Drosophila melanogaster: one gene and its partners. The main gene of each other region encodes a partner of the protein of the gene in region 4 in a complex. Each region holds a gene or a part of one and is shown on either strand. Other genes may lie near its edges.

What was found.
Region 1: MED16 (region 4) and MED23 share a complex: the UniProt entries of both Drosophila melanogaster proteins name them as parts of the mediator complex.
Region 2: MED16 (region 4) and MED8 share a complex: the UniProt entries of both Drosophila melanogaster proteins name them as parts of the mediator complex.
Region 3: MED16 (region 4) and MED20 share a complex: the UniProt entries of both Drosophila melanogaster proteins name them as parts of the mediator complex.

Annotation. Positions count from the first base shown.
Region 1 is NT_033778.4:22,887,201-22,894,967, forward strand, and holds MED23 (mediator complex subunit 23), read left to right. Parts: upstream 1-1,727; 5' UTR 1,728-1,813; coding exon 1,814-1,852; intron 1,853-1,914; coding exon 1,915-2,008; intron 2,009-2,062; coding exon 2,063-3,027; intron 3,028-3,085; coding exon 3,086-3,172; intron 3,173-3,227; coding exon 3,228-3,430; intron 3,431-3,482; coding exon 3,483-3,859; intron 3,860-3,919; coding exon 3,920-4,094; intron 4,095-4,150; coding exon 4,151-4,639; intron 4,640-4,697; coding exon 4,698-5,024; intron 5,025-5,083; coding exon 5,084-5,307; intron 5,308-5,365; coding exon 5,366-5,448; intron 5,449-5,504; coding exon 5,505-5,652; intron 5,653-5,721; coding exon 5,722-6,379; intron 6,380-6,440; coding exon 6,441-6,581; intron 6,582-6,639; coding exon 6,640-6,949; 3' UTR 6,950-7,225; downstream 7,226-7,767. Other genes in the region: asrij, read left to right, coding at 1-48, 107-333; Gmer (GDP-4-keto-6-deoxy-D-mannose 3,5-epimerase/4-reductase), read right to left, coding at 426-593, 650-1,207, 1,266-1,380, 1,435-1,559; CG3700 (uncharacterized protein), read left to right, coding at 7,265-7,517, 7,583-7,767. UniProt on the Drosophila melanogaster protein: Component of the Mediator complex, a coactivator involved in the regulated transcription of nearly all RNA polymerase II-dependent genes.
Region 2 is NT_033778.4:20,325,292-20,328,757, forward strand, and holds MED8 (mediator complex subunit 8), read right to left. Parts: upstream 1,516-3,466; 5' UTR 1,432-1,515; coding exon 673-1,431; 3' UTR 553-672; downstream 1-552. Other genes in the region: tapas, read left to right, coding at 1-39, 98-246, 305-522; CG8929 (uncharacterized protein), read left to right, coding at 2,768-2,843, 3,036-3,466. UniProt on the Drosophila melanogaster protein: Component of the Mediator complex, a coactivator involved in the regulated transcription of nearly all RNA polymerase II-dependent genes.
Region 3 is NT_033779.5:8,071,260-8,074,524, forward strand, and holds MED20 (mediator complex subunit 20), read right to left. Parts: upstream 1,590-3,265; 5' UTR 1,503-1,589; coding exon 744-1,502; coding exon of another isoform or gene 696-743; 3' UTR 553-695; downstream 1-552. Other genes in the region: poe (purity of essence), read right to left, coding at 1-7, 189-307; Trf (TBP-related factor), read left to right, coding at 1,712-1,866, 1,938-2,457. UniProt on the Drosophila melanogaster protein: Component of the Mediator complex, a coactivator involved in the regulated transcription of nearly all RNA polymerase II-dependent genes.
Region 4 is NT_033778.4:22,181,148-22,186,392, reverse strand, and holds MED16 (mediator complex subunit 16), read right to left. Parts: upstream 3,256-5,245; 5' UTR 3,183-3,255; coding exon 726-3,182; 3' UTR 501-725; downstream 1-500. Other genes in the region: Vps35 (vacuolar protein sorting 35), read right to left, coding at 73-132; CG11275 (uncharacterized protein), read right to left, coding at 3,864-5,117. UniProt on the Drosophila melanogaster protein: Component of the Mediator complex, a coactivator involved in the regulated transcription of nearly all RNA polymerase II-dependent genes.

The DNA of each region.
Region 1 (7,767 bases), 710 kb from region 4:
GCCCTACTTTGTCCGGCCTTGACGACATCTACCGCCCCACCCTGGACTGTAAGCTCATCTAATTCTTCGCATTCCCTATTATGATTCTGTACATTCTCCTTCCCAGCAGCTGGTTCAATGCTGGAGGCAGAGTTGCCCTTGGAGCCGTCTAAGCCGGGCCAGTCTTACGAGGACCTGCGACGAAGGAACCGAGAAGAGTATTCGAAGCACCAGCAGAGTCCATACTCGCGACCTTACGAACCACCAGTTGCCGTTCAACAGCGACCCGTGGAGCAGGCACAAAGTGAACCCGCTGGAAGGAAGAACCAATACGGCGACTCCTGGACTGATTAAGGTATTGTTATTTTGTTGGACATTAAACGCGCATAAAGTTCTGTGAAAATTCGTTGTCTATTTACATTTTTTTTTGGGGTTGGAATATTCAATTACTTTCTAGCCTGGTCGTAGTTTTCTATGTACCACTTAACCGAGGCGTTGATTGCCGTTTCCAAGTCCGTAAATGCGTAGTCTGGCAGGAAGGAGCGAAGCTTGGCATTAGACGCAGTCTTTTTGTACTGTCCATCCGACTTGCTCGTATCACAGACCAGTCTTCCCTGGAATAAATCAAGTTAATATCTTGCCTTGTCTCAAATTTCGCTTTTTAACCCACATTAAAATTAAATGCTTTTGCAACGGCTTGGGCCACCTCGAAGATCGTCACCTCCTGCACTTCGTCCGCGCTTAGGATGATGGGCTCCACACTTTCGTAGTTCCTGAGCACCCAGATCATCAGCTCCGCCAGGTCCCGGGAGTATACAAACTGCCGTAGTGGCATGCCGCTTCCGAAAACGGTGAACACCTTGTCGTTTTCGGGGACGTCAGTCTTCTCCGTAACCAGCTGGTGCATCCTATAGATCATGCCCGGAATAACGTGGCTGACCTCTGGATTATAGTTGTCGTGGGGACCGAATATGTTGCACGGAATGACCGAGGTGTACACCCGGCCATATTTATCGTGGTAGGCGTGGTTCTGCACGTCTATCAGTCGCTTTGCGTAGGAGTAACCATAATTGGAGGGGTGCGGCGGCCCATTGTGCACCATGGTCTCATCTATGGGGTAGCTGGTTTTGTCCGGAAAAATGCATGTGGACAGGCAGGACACCACCTTCACGCATCCCTGCTCGTGTGCCGTTTGCAGGACATTGTCGTTAATGAGCAGGTTGTTGCGCTAAAAGTGGATTCGCATGAAATGGGTTTTGGAATCATCTGTGAGACCAGGAGCTCACCAAGAAGTCCAGGTTGTTGTTCATGTTGTGGAACAGGCCTCCGACCATTGCAGCCAGATGGATGACATGCGTGGGCTTCTCTCGGGCGAAGAGTGCCTGCGTGGCGGCCAGATTTCTGTGGAGAGAATTTGTTTACGGATACGTTCAATTGAATTTCTTCATGACTTACGTCAAATCTGCATCTTTAGAGCCCGCAAAAAACCATTGCTCGTCCTCTGGGGACTGCTCCTTGATCACAGCCTCCAGGGCCTTGCCCACCAGCCCAGTTCCGCCTGTAACCAGAACTTTCTTCATGATTTTTGTGCGATTCCACAAATCAAGTCAATTAGTTTCTAAAGTAATTTTCGACTCAATGCGACCAGCTGCTTTAAATGCCGGCTAATCAGTCAGTGCTGCCTGCCTGGCGTTTTTAATCTAATCCTTTAGCTATTTCTTGTTATCAGAAAAAGCCACTTTTAGATTCTTTACTAAGCCCCATTTGGTCACACTGTGCCCAGGTAGTTTTTGTTTATGCGGTGTCGGATATGCGAAAAATAATTTAAATGGATATGGAAACGCAAGTTATAGACACCGTTAACGAGTTTCTGGTAATAGTGAAACCCTGCGTCTCCAAAAAATCACCCACTCATCCACGCTCTCCATTTCGCAGAAGGTCGACTCCCTTGACGAGGCGTTCGTTAGCGTCATTGTATTCAAGCCAAACACCGAGCAAGAACGAGCTACCCGCTTCGCCAATGATTTGGGTAGGTAAATGCGTCTGCTGGAACTCGAAAATTGTTAAAAACTATCTGTTTCAGTTACCGCCTTTGGGAACGTGGCGCAGGAGAACCGGGAGCAGGTGCTTCGGCTCTACCTGTTGCGTGCCGCCGGTGCCTCCGGATATCACATCAAAGTGCTGATGGCGGCACTGGTGAAGCTGGTGGACGCACACGTGATCACCGCCAGGATGCTGTGCGACAAGGTGCTGATGTGCGAGAAACTGGACTTCGAGCACAGGACCTTCTGGATCGAGAGCTTCCGGCTGATCAAGCGTGTGATCGTCCAGGTGGACTACAAGGGTGTGCGCGAGATCATGAAGGTATGCCGCGACAAGGCACAATGGTTTCCGCTGAACGTCAACGTTACCTACATGCCACAGCTACTGGCCGTTGAGGATATCCTGCGATTCATCTTTGATCGCAACAATTGCCTGCTGCCCGCCTACTTTATTGCCAACGAGATTATGCGTCCGTTTCCTTACCACTGGAAACTCAACCGGCTGATGACCGACTTTGTCGAAGAGTTCCGCACCACGGCACAAATGGTTTCGATCATTGGACATGCCAGCATGCTTCCCATCGTAGAGCATTTCGGCTATGCCGATCACATGATGAACTCCTGGCGACTGGACCACAATACCCTGAAGTTTAACTTTAAGGGTAGCCTGCCCTACGAGCCAGAGCTGCTCGAAGAGCAGAAGCCCCTACTCCGCTACGTTTTGGAGCAGCCGTACTCAAGGGAAATGGTCTCTCAAATGCTGAACCTGCAAAAGCATCAGAAGCAGCGCTACAATGCCCTGGAAGAGCAGTTGGTTAATCTCATAGTGCAGGCCATGGAGATGACGGAGGCGAATGATGCCACTGCGGGAAGTGGCTTTAACTCCTCAGACGAGCAGATCACGCCCTACGAGTGGATGTGGCTGCATCTCTCTTCGCAACTAATTTACTTTGTGCTCTTTCAGTTCGTAAGCTTTATGCACATAGTGTTGGCGCTCCACGAAAAGGTAGGTCCATGGTGGATGAAATTAATATTTCTTGTAATTAACTACTTTTCACCTATAGCTTTCCAAGTTGGAGCTTCGCAAGGGTCGCGATCAACTTATGTGGATTCTGTTGCAGTTTATATCCGGAAGCATACAGAAAAATCCTGTAAGATCCTGTTCTCCACCTGATTGATCTTATTTTTAATCGCTTTTAATTTTAGATCACCAATTTCCTGCCTGTGTTCAGATTGTTTGACCTACTATATCCCGAGCTAGAGCCTCTTAAGCTGCCAGATATCAATAAATCCTCGATGGTTCGCCATATGGCACCCATTTGCGTTTGGATTCACCTGATGAAGAAGGCACGAGTGGAAAACATGAACATCACCAGACCATTGCCAATTGCACTGAAAAACCACTACGAGTAATACCTCTAACTTCCTTTGGTGTTTAGATACTAACTGCTTAATTCCCAGCTTTCTGCAGCACCTAGTCACGGCTAACACCATGATGAACATGACGCTAGGAAACGACTTCCGCATAATTCTCATCTGCAATGCATACTCAACGAATCAGGAGTACTTCGGGCGTCCCATGGGTCTACTGCTGGATGCCCTAAATGGCACTTCAAAATCTCCAAACGGTGGCCAAATCCCAGCCGTAACTTTTTCGGTCACGGTTCTGGACAGCTTGACGGTGCACAGTAAGATGTCGTTAATCCACAGCTTCGTAACTCAGATGTTAAAACAGGCCCAAAGCAAGGGTCAAGTTCCAGCGGCTGCACTACTGGAAACTTATGCCAGACTTCTGGTTTATACAGAAATCGAGTCGCTCGGTATAAAGGGATTCCTGAGTAAGTACAGCCTGTTGAAGTGATTAAACAATATGTTTATGGTTTTTTTTCCTCCTAAAGGCCAACTGATGCCAACAGTGTTTAAGAACCATGCGTGGGCCATGCTGCACACCTTAATGGAGATGTTTTCGTACCGGCTGCACCATGTTCCTACTCACTACCGGGTCCAATTGCTGTCTCTCCTTCATTCTCTGTCCTCCGTGCCGCAGACAAACAAGATGCAGCTCAATCTCTGGTTAGTTATACGTTTATCGAGTATAGACTTCTTTCTAAGTTCTTCCCTTTGTATAGTTTTGAATCTACTGCACTGCGTCTGATCACCAGCATTGGATCCGCCGAGTTTCAGCCGCAGTTTTCGCGTTACTTTAACGACAAATCTCCCGGAGCAGTGGCGTCTAATGAGAGCGAAGAGCTAAACAGAGTACTTATTCTTACGCTAGCTCGATCCATGCACGTACATGGTGGCGGCGATGAAATGCAGGGATGGTGCAAGGACTTCCTTTCCAACATCATTCAGCACACGCCGCACTCGTGGCCCATGCATTCCCTAGCCTGCTTTCCGCCCGCCTTAAACGAGTACTTTACGCAGAACAACCAACCTCCGGAGAACAAGCAGCAGTTGAAGAAGGCCGTGGAAGAGGAATATCGAACCTGGACGTCGATGACCAACGAGAATGACATAATTGCGCACTTCTTGCGTCCAACTACGAATCCTTTATTCCTTTGCCTTCTGTTCAAAATAATTTGGGAGACGGAGAACATAAGCCCAGTGGCTTACAAGTGCGTAACATTATGATTTAAACACAATCATTTTTTCTGACCATACCTTTTTTTTTAGAATTTTGGAGGGTATAAGCGCGAGAGCCTTGTCCACTCATCTGCGTAAATTTTGTGACTACTTGGTGGCTGAGGTAGCTAGCTCATCGGATGGCCGCGACTTTATTCACAAGTGCGTCGACACCATTAACAACATGATTTGGAAGTTCAACGTTGTGACCATCGATAGGGTTGTGCTTTGCCTGGCTCTGCGAACGCACGAGGGTAACGAGGCTCAAGTCTGCTTTCTCATAATTCAGCTGCTCTTGCTGAAAGCCAGCGAGCTGAGAAATCGTGTTCAGGAGTTCTGCAAGGACAATAATCCTGATCACTGGAAGCAGAGCAACTGGTAAGTTGGACACTTGATTTTGTTAAGAGCACAAAGGCATAGTTGTTATTATTTCTCAGGCAGGACAAACACTTGTCATTCCATCAAAAGTATCCAGAGAAGTTCGCGTTGGACGAGTCAGCTTCACAGATTCCGCTGCCCGTGTACTTCAGCAATGTCTGTCTGCGATTCCTTCCCGTTCTGGATGTGGTAGTGCACAGATTTATCGAACTTACCATTACAAATGTCCACCAGATATTGGGCTTCATTTTGGATCATCTGAGCATACTCTACAAGTTTCACGGTATGTTAAAAGTGGCTTTCGAGAATTTCATAACTTTAAATTACCCTTTAAATTGCAGATCGACCTATAACATATCTGTACAACACCCTCCATTATTATGAGCGAATCTTACGAGACCGCCCTGCGCTAAAGAAGAAACTTGTAAGATTTGTTATGAATATTATATTCCCTTCTTCTAATACACTGTGTTGTTCCAGGTTGGCGCTATCACCAGCGCCTTTAGCGAGATTCGGCCGCCCAACTGGAGTGTTAGTGAGCCGTACAAGGTGTATTTGCAAAGCCAAGACTCGCTGTGGACCCCCGAATTGAGCTACTATATGAGTTTGATCAGGAGACTTGCAGACAGTAAGCTAGGATTTGGGAAAATACTATGATGTGTTCATATATTCATGCGTAACCCCTTTTATTTTGCAGCAATTAGTGGGAAGAATGTATTTTACTCCACCGATTGGCGTTTTAACGAGTTCCCGAATGCGCCAACCCATGCGCTCTATGTGACATGCGTGGAGCTGCTGGGTCTGCCGGTGGCACCGCCACTGGTGGCCAGCAATCTCATCGATGTTATAGTAAGCGGATATGCGGTTATTCCGCAAAAGGACATTCACAGCTACATTAATGCTGTGGGCATTGTTCTGGCTGCCTTGCCTGAGCCCTACTGGAGCGGCATATACGATCGCCTACAGGATATGCTCAACACACCCAATATGCTGAACTGGACCTACAGATTCAATGCTTTCGAGTTGTTTAACTTCAAGACAGTGCGTGAGGCGATGCTAGAAAAGACCTACGCCGTGGTGTTGGCAGTAGCTCACTCAGTGTTCCATCACATGGGCGCCTTTAAGCTGGCGGCAATGACCAGGTACCTCAAGGAGAAGCTAAAGCCGTGCGTGCGAACCGAACAACAATTGCTGTATTTGTGCCACGTTTTTGGCCCCTTCCTGCAACGAATAGAGTTGGAAAAACCGAACGCTGTGGCTGGCATAGCCGTGTTGCTTTACGAAATTCTTGAGATCGTGGACAAGCATCATGGTCCGAAGCCTCTGCAGTACATGGACCAGATCTGCGATTTCCTGTAAGCAAATCCACAAAATCGCATGAAAGGGTACTAAACAAATGTGTTTGTATCATTTCAGCTATCACATTAAGTATATACATGTGGGTAATATCATTAAGAACGAATCGGAAGCCATCATTAAGCGGCTACGGCCCCTGCTGCAAATGCGCCTGAGGTTCATAACCCACCTTAACTTGGAGGATATTCACACTGAAAAGATGTAAGGGCCATTTAATTCAAACTCTACTTCGGTTTAAACATAACTTTTCCAATTTCAGCAACGACAATACCAGCAATAATGCAATAACCAGCCAAACGCAGTCTCCAATGCAAACACAGCATCAGCAGCAGCCGCAGCAACCACATCAGCAACAACAGCAGCAACAACAACAGCAACAGCAGCAGCAGCAGCAGCAACAGCAGCAACAACAGATGCAGCAGCAACAAATCAACGCAGTACAAACAACCAGCGTTCCCTTGGGCAGCGGTGGCAACCTACAGCAGCAGCAGCAAATCAACCAGCAGCAACAAATGTATATGCAGCACATGCAGCAGCATCAGCACATGCAAAACATGCGCCACAATTAGACTTTGTGGGACTCCCAAGTCAGTTCAAGCTGACATAACGACATAAGCCTAATTTATAGTAGTATTATCTTATATTTTATCGCTTATTGCATTATTCATTTTCCATTGAATGTGTAAACAGTTCTCAGATATGTTTAAGTTAGATACTAAGGGAACTTTTTGTAAGTCACAGCTGTCGGCCCAAGTCCTCCCTCCAGCTTTACAATCAAAAGCTTGACTTAATAAGCCCAGCTTAAAGCTCTTCGTAGATAACCTGTAGTTGGTGATCTTGTCCACCTCGAGCGCCGTTCTCAGTTGTGATCGCAGAGCACTGCGATGTATGCGCTTCCGGGAATCCAGATTCTGTTGCTGATTGCTTCAGTCAGCGTGGTGACCGAGTACTGCGACAATGGAACGGGCGAGTGCAAGGAGCTGACGCCCTCCGACTGTCCAGTGATATTCTACAACCAGCACCTGATCGGAGCCGAAGTCAAGTACTGCGACGAGTTCAACGACATTGTCTGCTGTCCCATACCGCTGGATCACCAGAATCTGAAGCCAGCCGAACAGACGAGGCCTTTTGAGAAGCGTGAGGAGTGACTGCAACAATTCCCTTCGATTGATGGAATTTGAATATTCGTTTTTTTTTTTTAGAGTGCAAGCAATACAACGAGGTCAGATCCGCCTGCCAGTCCACGCCCTTCATCGTGGGCGGCACAAAGGCATCCGGTAAAGAGTTTCCCTTCATGGCCCTAATCGGCACTCATCGGCCCAACAAGTCCAAGTCGGACATCAATTGGGATTGTGGTGGATCCGTGGTGCATCCCAAATTCGTACTG
Region 2 (3,466 bases), 1.9 Mb from region 4:
GGCCTACGCTGCCCCTGACTCCGAAGGCGTATATCATCGGTAAGAACTTATTCAGGTCTTGCAATAAAAACGCAGACTAAATCTGTTAATCTTGCAGCGTAAGTATTCACAAGATTTACGATGAGATTATACACGTGCGTTTCGTCGACGTGGGCGACGATGGAGTAATTGCCTGTGATCAACTGAAAACTCTAAATCCGGAGTTAAGAAAGCTGCCCAAGATGGCATTGCCAGCACAACTTTATGGCAAGTTCAAGAGAACTTCAGCAGTTTGGCGTTAGAACTAAAAACGATCTTCTTTCAGGCATACAACTGACTGATGTAGTATGGAGCAAGGAGAACTGCGTCCGATTCCGGGAACTGTCGCTGGGTCAGAAGTTTATTGGCATTGTGCGGCGAATGACTAAACAAAAGGATGGCGGACGAGCGCTGTGCCTGGAGCTGGTGGACACCTCCACGCCGAAAGATATTAAGCTGCACGAGATTCTCATCAATGAGAAGCACGCACAGCCAGCAACATAAGAAGTCTGAGTCGGAGGAGACGATCCATTTAAATTTGTTCATGTTTATGTTTGCGTAATCCTAGTTTTAGAATTAGGAATATACATATAACTTATTACGACGAAACATTCCGCCAGATGGAACCGATAATAGCTAATAAACTGATGTTTTTTATCGAGAGAACGGATGCACTTGATTTGCGGACTTGATGTTTGTTTTCACAGCCGATGGCGCCTTTCCCAGCTGCTGCTGCACGTTGCCGGGACTCATAGCGGGTCCACCCATTGGCGAGGGTGCTCGAATTGAAGGCGGTACCATCATGCCAGGTCCGGGTCCATAGTTGGTCAGCTTGAGTCCTTTTCCCATACCCACGGCGGCCACCAGGAGCTGTGTGTCGGCCATGCTACTCGTCTGCTGGATGCCGGTGCGCGAAGAGCTCTCGATTTCCCACTCCTCGCGCGCTTTGCTGACCATATCCAGGACGTGGGAGACGACCTTGTTGTATTGAGTGACCTGTTTCATGGCAGCGTCGTTGGTGAGGTTCGCCGCCTTCTGTTCGTTCTGCAGCATTTTCTGTTCCGTAATCGGATCCGGCCGAGTTCTCAAATAGTCTGGAACAATGTCGTGTGAAAAGACTGGCACCCGACCCTCTGTGATGTTGATGAGGGTGTCATCCCGGTCCATGGAGACCAGAAGGGGCAGGACCGTTCGATTTCTTAGCGGCGGACACTGCTCCTTTGCCAAGATTTTCGTCAATCCCGTCAAGTGACTTGAGATAATGGCAAAGTTGTCCAGGAAAGTCGGCCAGTTGATGGTCTCGTACTCTAGCTCAAGTTTTTGGATCATCGAGAGAACCGCCAGCTTCAGGTCGTTCAGACGCTGAAGGACCGTATCCAGCGTCAGCTCAAAAAGCTTTTCGTCGCGCTGCATTTTGGAAACTCCCAATTAAACTATTATTTTTAACTTCAGTCGGATGGACACAAAGTGGAAAGTGTGACCGTGGATCTGCTTATTATCATTTGTTAGTCGGGTGTAATAAAATACTGCAACACCGTACTATCGATAACGTTTGCGATAGCAGCAAACTGGCGTCCACACTACATTCAGATCCTAAAATTAAAATCATATGGTCAATTAAGGAAACTGAACAATAAAAAATGAATTAATGCTCACCAATAACTAATAATTGATCGTTATTATTTGTTTCTGTTTTAATTTAAATAGAACTAATAACTTTTATTTTTGCAATAATTAGCAGAATCGTTAATGCATACTTAAAATAATGTCAAAACAATATGATATGATTTAAATAGTCTAATATATAAAACATTCCCAAAACGAATAGTGTTTTCAACTACGAGCGCCTCTTGAAATAACACAATATTTATTATTAAAATATATAAACTGACTCGAGTTCATCAGACTCTGAACAGTCCTTAGACTATTGAAGCCAAGCCATCGATTGTGCCCCGGCATATCGATACTACCAACATGGCCGTCGAGAAAAATTGAAGTGAACGCAACGCCGTGTTTTTCATTTGCCAATAAAACGTTAACAGCTCACGAAATATCGTAAAGCGTGCCCGCAAACGTCGCCAAATGTAAGCAAATTATTTTAGTGCCTGTTTTACATCGTTTACATAATTGCCAGAGCTGAAATTCGAAATTTAGTTGCTGCCGTCGGGAGTATCGCCAACTTTTGCCTCACACTCTCTCTCTGTCTCGCTCTGCATTCCTCTCGTGCTGACAAGGCAAATATATTGGTGCTGGTGTGAGTGTATGTGTGAAAAATGGAAGAAATTCAAAATGCATATGTGAAAAGATATACGCGCAAGCCGATTAAAAATCGGCTCTCTCGCACGATTTTGATTGGGACCACAGGTCCCCGACCCCCGCGGCGTGATATGGGTTAAATGACAGCCGGAGCGCGTCCGCGATTCTCTCTGCGTTTTCAGGTCTCTCCGCTCTATTCCCATTCTGTATAACTCCGCTCCTGATATTGTTGTTGCTTTGTGTTAGCCATTTCTAATGCTCTCTTTACATGTTTCTATATTCAATTGTAATATATTTGCAGCTTGTTGTGTATGTTTTTGAAATGGTAAAGTGTGTTGTCGCGTTCGCCAAACCGAATCCGAAACAGTAAACCAAACCCTAACCGATTGGGGGTAATAAACATTGAAACCCGAGTACATACATACATATATCTGTCGCGCGATATATATACATATACATAGTTGCCAAAGCGATAGAAATCCGAAATCTCGCGATGGCGTCGCGCAGGCGCGCCGAACTGAATCCAAAACTGCACATGGACAGGCAGCCGACAGCTGCCCGCATAACAGGTACCTGAACTGAAACTTCTACCAACTACCAGCAAGCAACTGCATAGAAGTGGGAAAACCCAATTACCTCGCCGGGATTAGCGATGTCTAAGGGCCCATAAACCCATCAGCCCGTCTTAGGGGCTTCCCGGAACAAAGCACCGCCCACCACCCTGCCAATCGAAGCTTACCTTTTACCTCTCAACCTTGCAGATCCCTCATTACCCGCTGGAAAGCGACGCGAGATCGACAACGTGATGAAGAAGGCGCGCGCCAACACCACCAACGATTATTGGGACAAGAAGCTGATCGAGGCAGAGGAGAAGGATCCAAACCGATGGCGCCACACGGGCTACAAGAAGATGTACATCCAGGGGGAGAGCAGCTCTGGAGAGAGCGAACGCGACGGTCGCGAAGGTCGTGAGGGTGGAGCACCGCCCTACGGTCGTTATCCGCCCACAGGTGGACCGCCGCCAGGTCCACCGCCTCCGTCGCAGCGTTACGGACGCTCTCGTTCGCCGCACTCACGCAGTCGGTCGCGTTTGCGCAAATCGCCACCGCTTTCACCACCTCCGCGTCGTCGTTCACCGCCCATGGCTATGCACAGTGGCATGGATCGCCGTGGTGGACCTCGCTCGCCGCCA
Region 3 (3,265 bases), on a different chromosome or scaffold from region 4:
ATGTTCGCTATGCAAATATCGGAATAGAGCGTTGTTAGTTCTCGATATTAAAGAATTTTCAAAGCTTTTTGCTATTTCGTCACCGGAGCGGCCATATTTAATTTTGCAAGTCACTTTTTGCACTAGCAGAAAATTTTTCACTACGCCATTCGGTAGGCGAAAAGTTCTAGATGATCGTTTGTACTTACCATCGCGTGATAGCTTTGAGCAAATTAACAACTTCGTTCTTGTTTAAGGCTCCTGTACGGTTAAGTATCAGGGCTTTAACAACGGAATTCCAATCCGTTCCGCCGCTGTGGGCCGACATTATTGTTTAAATAATCTCGTCAATTTGCCCGATAGTACTGAGTACTCGGCCTACTGTGTGGCCAGATTTCATTAACGGTAAAATGCCGTGCGAGCAGGGATACCACACAGCTTTAATCATTATTCCAATCAGCTGTTTTAAAAATACATAAAAAAGTAGTGAATAACCAATATATGAAAAAAACTGTACACTGCACAAAATATATATATATATATATATATAACTATAATATTTTAAACGTATTTGGACAAGCTAATAAATGTTTTGTTTATTCGTCTAAAATATGTAAAGCAAACTAGTGATGCTAGCTTTAAAATAATGATTATTTAATTATTAAATATTAGTGACATATGTATATTTTTTTTGTTTAAATTATCTTCTAAACATCTTAATCGGCTGCAGGCTCATCCGGTGGCTCCAGCTTGACGTCGGCGGATCAGGATCGATGTAGTCCCGCCACCGCCGGCGACATATGCACGTTCGGACCAACCTGTTGGCTACCCGGTCCACTGCCCATACCGCCCATAAGAGTCACATGCTTCCTATAGTTGGTGAACTGCTCCAGGTATTGTTTCACGGTGTCCATTGGCTCAAAGATGTCGTTGTGCTTGGCATGCAGCTGCTGTTGCCCCATTGCCGTCATTATTGTCTGTGGAGCGAAATAGGAGGGAAAGTCCTTATTCACAGCAATGCCGAGGAATCCCTGCAGCATTTCGCGTATCATTTCCCAGCAGTAGGCCAGAATCACGCATGACTTGTACTCGATTTCGATGAGGATGCCCTTGAAGTGCTCCATCATGGTGACGGAACCGAGTTTGATAACAAAGTCACCATACTCGAAACGAGCGCCACGGGACTCGATTTTGGTCTGCTTTTTGGAGGTGAAGGTGTTGGTCATCTTGAGCATGAGCAGATCGAAGATATTGTCGGCGACAATGGCCACTTGTTTGCCGGTGCCATTGTCGATGATCGAGAACGTGGAGGCGGGATACTCGGAGTTGTGCAGGACGTGGACTGCGCGTCCAGGTGCTCCATTGTGCGGCTGTGGCGTCGAGATGAACGTTTCGCAGTCCACCAGAAATTGACCGGCATGTGTGGCGCCCAGGGCGAGCAGACGCTTGCTCAGCTGATCGATTATGTGGGCACCCGATTTGCCTTCGGGTAAGGGATACGGTTGAAGGATAGTTACTCCCATAGTTTATGCAATAATGTCAGCTTTTTAGTTTTATTAATTTTGTTTACAAGTCTTGCAAGCTAAAAGCGTCCAGTGTGACCAGTGCTGACTTTTTAGTCATGAGAAAAGTTAGACAAATAAAAATACCAAACCGGCATACAATTTTCGTCAGCAATAAAATAGGACAACACTGGCCACGTCGCGTGCGGATTTGTTTATAATTTTCGGCAATGCAGTTTCACTTTAAAGTCGCGGACGCTGAAAGGGACAGGGATAATGTGGCTGCGACCAGCAATGCTGCCGCCAATCCGCACGCAGCCCTGCAGCCGCAACAGCCCGTTGCCCTGGTGGAGCCCAAGGATGCACAACATGAGATACGATTGCAGTTGGTTGACCACTTTTCAGAGGCACTTCATGAAATAAATAGAAACCCATTGATACATCCATAACTTGCAGGAATATCGTGGCCACCTTCTCGGTGAACTGTGAACTGGACCTCAAGGCAATCAACTCGCGTACGAGGAACTCGGAGTACTCGCCCAAGCGCTTTCGTGGCGTCATCATGCGAATGCACTCGCCCAGGTGCACAGCGCTAATCTTTCGAACGGGCAAGGTCATCTGCACGGGTGCACGAAACGAGATTGAGGCGGACATTGGATCGCGAAAGTTCGCACGCATCCTGCAGAAGCTGGGATTCCCCGTAAAGTTCATGGAATACAAGCTGCAGAATATTGTGGCCACCGTTGATCTGCGCTTCCCCATCCGCCTGGAGAACCTCAACCACGTGCACGGGCAGTTTAGTTCCTACGAACCGGAGATGTTTCCAGGCCTAATCTATCGCATGGTCAAGCCGCGCATCGTTCTCCTGATCTTCGTCAACGGAAAGGTTGTATTTACGGGCGCCAAGTCGCGCAAGGACATTATGGACTGCCTGGAGGCGATATCACCTATTTTACTAAGTTTTCGCAAGACGTAGTTGTTTCTACACATCCAAATGTTTTTGTTTAGCTTAGTTATATTCCATAACTACAATATTTTTAATATATTTACCTTAACTTTTTTAGTATAAAATGTGAAATGAAACAACTTAATTAATAATTTCCATGGGTAAATTCATAGAAATTGTAAGATTTTATTTTGGCCTTACTAAGCAAATTAATTTTTATTTAAAAAAAACTGTTGTTATTTTAAATAAATTTTTATATATTAATGTCTTGTAATCCATTTCATTCTATTCTTTGAATTAATAATAAATTTGTAAGTAATTTGAATTTTTATACATTTTTGTACCCATTCCTGGAATTTGGGAAAAATATTCAAATCCACAAATTCTGAAGTGTACCAACACATTCCATGAAAAGAAAACACATTTGGATAAACATTACTTTTATTTATTTTCAGGTTTCGTTTATTACAAAAGAAAACACAAGACACTTCATAGAGATTCGATTCGATTCTTATGGTACGGAAAGGAGCGACATTCTTAAGTTGTGTACAAAAATTTCCTTGTTTCTCGCTTAGTAGCTTCATGTACATGGCTATGTGAGATTTGTGTTGGGAATTTATAAACTAATTGTGGTTCATATGAAGGCGTATATACGTATAAAACTTACAAACTATGCAGATTCATTATTTGCATAAATTAATTGGACGGTTTCTTCAACGATTTTCACTTCATTTCGTTTAAAAATGTATTCAAGAGTTAGATAATACAAATTAGATAAATTTCCATTCGATATGCTTGCAAACTTTTGTCAAGATACATTCGCTAATGATTTCTAAAA
Region 4 (5,245 bases):
CAAATTGAAGATAAGTGGATTAACGATTACACATATCCAAGATTCGTAATCTGGGATTGGCGGAGTATTTACCCGGACGTTGGCGGCACTGGGAATCTGGCCGCCGTACGAGGAGGAGCTCCAGGGATACATGGACGTGGGATTTGGACCGGGGGGGCGTTGCTTCTCACCACAGGCAGCCCTCTTTTGACGTCGACAGGGTGGGCACTCAGCACTCGGTTAAGCCTGGACCTGGGGCACTCGGTTCTCTAGGAATTTCGACTTCTGGCGACTACAGGTTGCACCTCGATGCACTTACCATTACTGCAGCGTTAGGGCGAAGTGAAATAAGCCAATTATTCTGAAAATATCTATTTGCAGAGGAGATATCGATTGCCGACAGCCGACAGACACATTGGACGTCCTGATATCGATTGACATGCTAGTGATGCAAGTTCTTCGATATGTTGTTGTTGTTAATATCAAACCGTTAGCAAATACACCAACCACAATTCATAGATAGAGTTAAAAAATATATTTTATTCAAATAAATTTAGTTTTGAAATAGTGAAGTATGGTGGTGACTTCTCTGTGGCTTAAGTTTTTTGAACGAGCACGTCGTGCAAAGAAGAAATATATTTAGTATATTAAATTTCTTGATTTCACTAAAATTGCTGGCAATCATGTACTTTTATTTGAAGCTTAAATCATACTTAATAACTAAGGTCATTGCTCACATAGATTTACTAGTGAACCTGCTTCCAAAAGCCCCCACAGTGGCAGTGCAGCCACTTACTAAACCACGCCTTGAGGGCCGACGTCTTGGCCACTTTGCTGGCGTTATTCACGAACACGAATCCGCAGCGGGCGCATCTCCGAATGTGGCTGGGTCGGGCGCCCAGTTGGAGATTGCTCACGCCATCCTTCACAGAGCTGGCGAAGACCACCTCCTCCGTCTCCATGTCCTGCAAGCAAGTTGGCTCCTCCATGGAGGTGAACTGCAGCTGTCCCGACTTTACGGCCGCGAATCCTTGGGCACTCAGCAGCGTGGTGGGGTTGAACTTGGTGGGCTGGGGAATTAGGAGCTGCTTGGAAAGCAGGCTGCACTCGTCCAGCAGCATTTCGTCCGGTTCTGCAGGATTCTGGGCCAGGCGAGTAAGCAAACGAAACAAGATCACTAGCACATCGATGTTGTCCATCGTCTTGGTGTAGACGGGCAGGCACTGGGTGTTTAACAGGCCCCAAATGCGGATCATAACCAGCAGCTCGCGCAGACTGCTGATGGCCACGATGTCTCGGCTGATATCGTAGCTAGGCCGCTTTCCGGAGAGCTTGGTCTTCATTACCTCCTCGGGCAGACGATGCAGCATGTTGAGTGCCAGGTCGGTGACCCACTGAATCAGTTGCTGTAGACTTTGCAGCATCACCGGCTCCACTGTAAAGTCCTTGGCGTCCAGGTTCAGCATCACGGTGTCCACATCCGGAATGGATTCGGCCAGCTTGATGGCCAAGTTATCGGCAGGTCCTTTATCCTGGAAACCCAGATCAGACGGTCGCAGGAGGCTCTTGAATGTGGTGGATATTGCGTGTAGGATAATGAGATTGTCAAACTCCTGCTGCTGCATGCGGCATATGTTGGACTTGAGGGCCAAAAAATTAGCATAATAAAAGTGCCGCACAAAGGAAGGTTGCCGCGTAAAGTTGTCGGTTAGCTTCTCCACCAGAGCCTCCAGGTTGCCTAGATTAAGGAGTAGCACATCGCTGGCATCGCAACCTGTAACGATGCAATATTCCAGAAGTAGCAAACCAGATCCTCCTTGCTTCGGCAGAGGTGCCTGCATGGCGTAAAGTTGTGCATGGCTATCAAAGATTAGGAGAATTTGGCTGCTAGGTGTCAAGTCGCCGCTAACGAACTTTACTGCTCCACTGGCGTCAGATAACCTATCAAACTGGGTGTGATTAAGCTGCTTCATCGAGTTGGGCTCCAGCACCTGGACGCTGTTGTCCTGCAGAATGGCGTACACTTGGCAAGAGTCCGGCGTTGATACCGATAGTCGTGTAACGCTGATATCCGCCAAGGATGCATTTAGTTGCACTTTGCCCACCTGCTCCCAGCTTTCCGATTGCACGAACTCATTTGGCTTGTTGTTGGCACCTCCTCCACCCTGGAGAAGGGCGTGGACACTTTGGTGACGGCGTGTCAATGTCCATTGCTCCAGTTGGCTGCCAGCACCATCTGGACAAGCGTAGGCTATAAAAATCACATCCTCGTTGGCTATTCGCGTCCATTTTAGGTGACTGATCCGCCTCCCGTCAAGAGGACCCAGAAATATGCTGGTCTGGGACTCGGATTTGATGGCCAAGTGCTGCTCCAGACCCAGTTCGCCCTCCAATGAAAGCGAGACCTTAAAGCATTGCACCAACTGTTGCTGCCAGCCACAGCTGAAAGCGATATTAAGGGCTCCCGATGGACTTGGCGTCATGCTGCAGTGTTCGATGAAGCTGCGCGATATGCCGATGCTGTGGAGCGCGGGTGTCAACTCGACGACCTCGTGGGCAGGACCATCAGCTCCTGCGGCGGATGTCTTTTGGATTGCGGGGAGACTGAAGGCGGCCAGCAGGCCTGAGGAAGTGAGTAGCACGCATCCCTCGCTGGCCACTCCGCCAAATCCGCTGAGAGTGGGCCTCTGCTGCTCCACCCGCTCGAACTTCTCCGCATAGTAGGTGTGATCCTTCTTCAGCGCATTGAAGATCACTCCTTTGCCATTCTGAAAGAACTGTGCTTCTATAATGTCCTCGCTGGGCACGGTGGCGTAATACTGCAGCACCCATAGGTTAATTGACTGGTTCCTCGGCTGCCAGATCTCGACGCGACCGCCGACGTATCCAAGCAGCAGTTGCTCCCCATTGGGACTCCACTGGAGGACGCTGATAAGCGATTTGGAGGAGCACACCTTATAGTATTCCCACGGCGTCACGATGTCGCACACGTACACATGGCTGTTGCTCGCGCCTACGGCCAAACCCGCTCCCGGCAAGGATCCATCGCCGGCATCTCCTCCGTGGGAAGCCGGAAATATGGCGCTCTGGAGGGCGCTAAACGCAACGATGTTCCGTGCGGAGACTGAGCAGAGGACCTTCTTGTGCGGAAAAACGCTGTCCTTGCTGAACTCCTTGCCCTCCACTTTGTACAAAATCGTCATTTTTGCAGCGTAAACAAAAACCAAAGCGGACTATTATTGTTTTGCACCCGGCGTCTGCCAACACTACTCTGTGAAGAACTTTACAGCACTGTTTCGCGGGTGTTTAGCGCTTTTCCACTGCATTTTTGATTCCATTGTTACTGTAAAATGTTTGGTTTTTATGTTTAGATTTAAGATAGTGCTCATTAATATTTTAATTCTGAACAGCAAATAAAGCTTTTACAGCGCAGCAGCTTTAAATCATTAATCATTTAAACAAAAATTAAGTTATTAAATAATAGCCAGTTTCTCACTGTTAATTATTTTACGGTCGCCCCAATTTAAGCAAGAATTATTATGACCAGTTGGCCACACTGTCCCTCGTTCAATTTCGCTTTGTTTACATCTGGTGATTATATTATAGTTTATTGTTTTACCGATTTTTTTTTTTTAGTGGCCGCAACAACAGGTGAGATAAGTTTCCGTATTCGCAGCCAGGACGCCGTTCCCCGATCGAGTTCGATTCGTTCGCCAAACAAAAACGGCTGCAAACCGGCTTTTTATATTTATCAGCAGACGTCTTGTGTTTGAAGCGATATTACTCACAGTTTATTGAACTCTGAGGCAGCGTACATTAACTTAGGGCAATAAATACATACACGTCTTACGGACTAACTAATTATGATATCGCGGCTGAAGTGGCTACACCAGGTTGGCATAGCGCAGTCCCTTGACGAGACTTCCGCTGAAGCTGTCCTCGTCAGTGAACCGAATTCCGTCCGCCTGGCAGGACTGCAGGCTGCACGGATACTCGGCGCCGTAAGCACTGCTGTCCCAGCGGATCTGCAGCTCATAGGTCAGCTCCGGATTCAGCACACAGGCCTCTTCGCGTCGCCAGCCAAGATGCAGGTTGCAGTTGTACTTGGTATTCTGGCTCTGGACAACGTGACTCCATACGGGCGACGTGGCCGGACCCTCGCTTTCAGCGGGCACCTCGCAAAGGTCCAGCCGCAGCGATTCGCGGTACTCCAGCTGCTGGACGTGACCCAATAGGTTGGGAGTCAGCCTGCTGTTCAGGACCAAGCCCATCAAGGAGATAAATCTAGAGCACTTTAGACGCAAGCGAAACAGCGGAGTTTCTGCATCCACTGTAAAGGGCCTGCAGGCCTTGTAATAGCAGCGCTCCACCAAAACCACCGGAGTTAGGGCAGGTGATTCCAAATCACTAGCACCCGAAGCCGCAGGCCAGTCGCTTGTTTTGCCACCCAAGTCGTGCACTACTAAGTCGGCATCGCTGGGACCCAGACCCAACTGCTCGCACTCCTGTCGTGTCCACTCATAAACATACCAGATGAGTAACTTGTGCGGTTCCTTGCACGCCGCTATTATGGCCTTCACACACTCCTTGGACACGTGCACATAGTGCTCCTTAAGGTGGCTCATATACTGTCCATTATTAACACAGCATCGCATGAAAAAGGTCATGCAGACCTCCAGCAACCCGTCGAGGCCCATGCAAACACTTAGCTCTAGAGCGGGCAAGATATTGGCAAATCGCAGCTTGCGGGTGATAACCATCAGCGTGTCGGCGATCAGCTCCTCCAGCAGATACTTCTCAGCGGCGTAGTACAGCTCAATGCAGGCCACCAGCTCCAGGCCATTGTAGTCAACGACGCCCGTGTAGATGTACTCCACCAGCACCTTGAAGATGGCAGAGCTTATGTCGTGGATTTCGATTTCCGGCTCGGGCTCGTTGTTTTGCATGGGACCAAAGAACATTGCCTCGAAAACGGGACTGGCGGAGCTCAGGATGAGCTTGTGGCATTTCACTTGCTCCTCGCACACGTGGAACACGCAATCTGTGTACTTGGCTCCACGGAGCAGCTGCCCGTATCGCCTACCCAGACCGCTGCTCACACTGCCCGGCTCTTTGCGATCCACCGCCGAGATGCTCATCTGCGAAAGGGGCAGAGAAAGGTGGTAGATATTAATGAGCCATTCGAAAACCTGTTTCCAATTTGCCCGTGTCATAGGCGGCCATCAATCATTCGAAGTATAATAGAAACTATTCAGGCGCGGGCGAA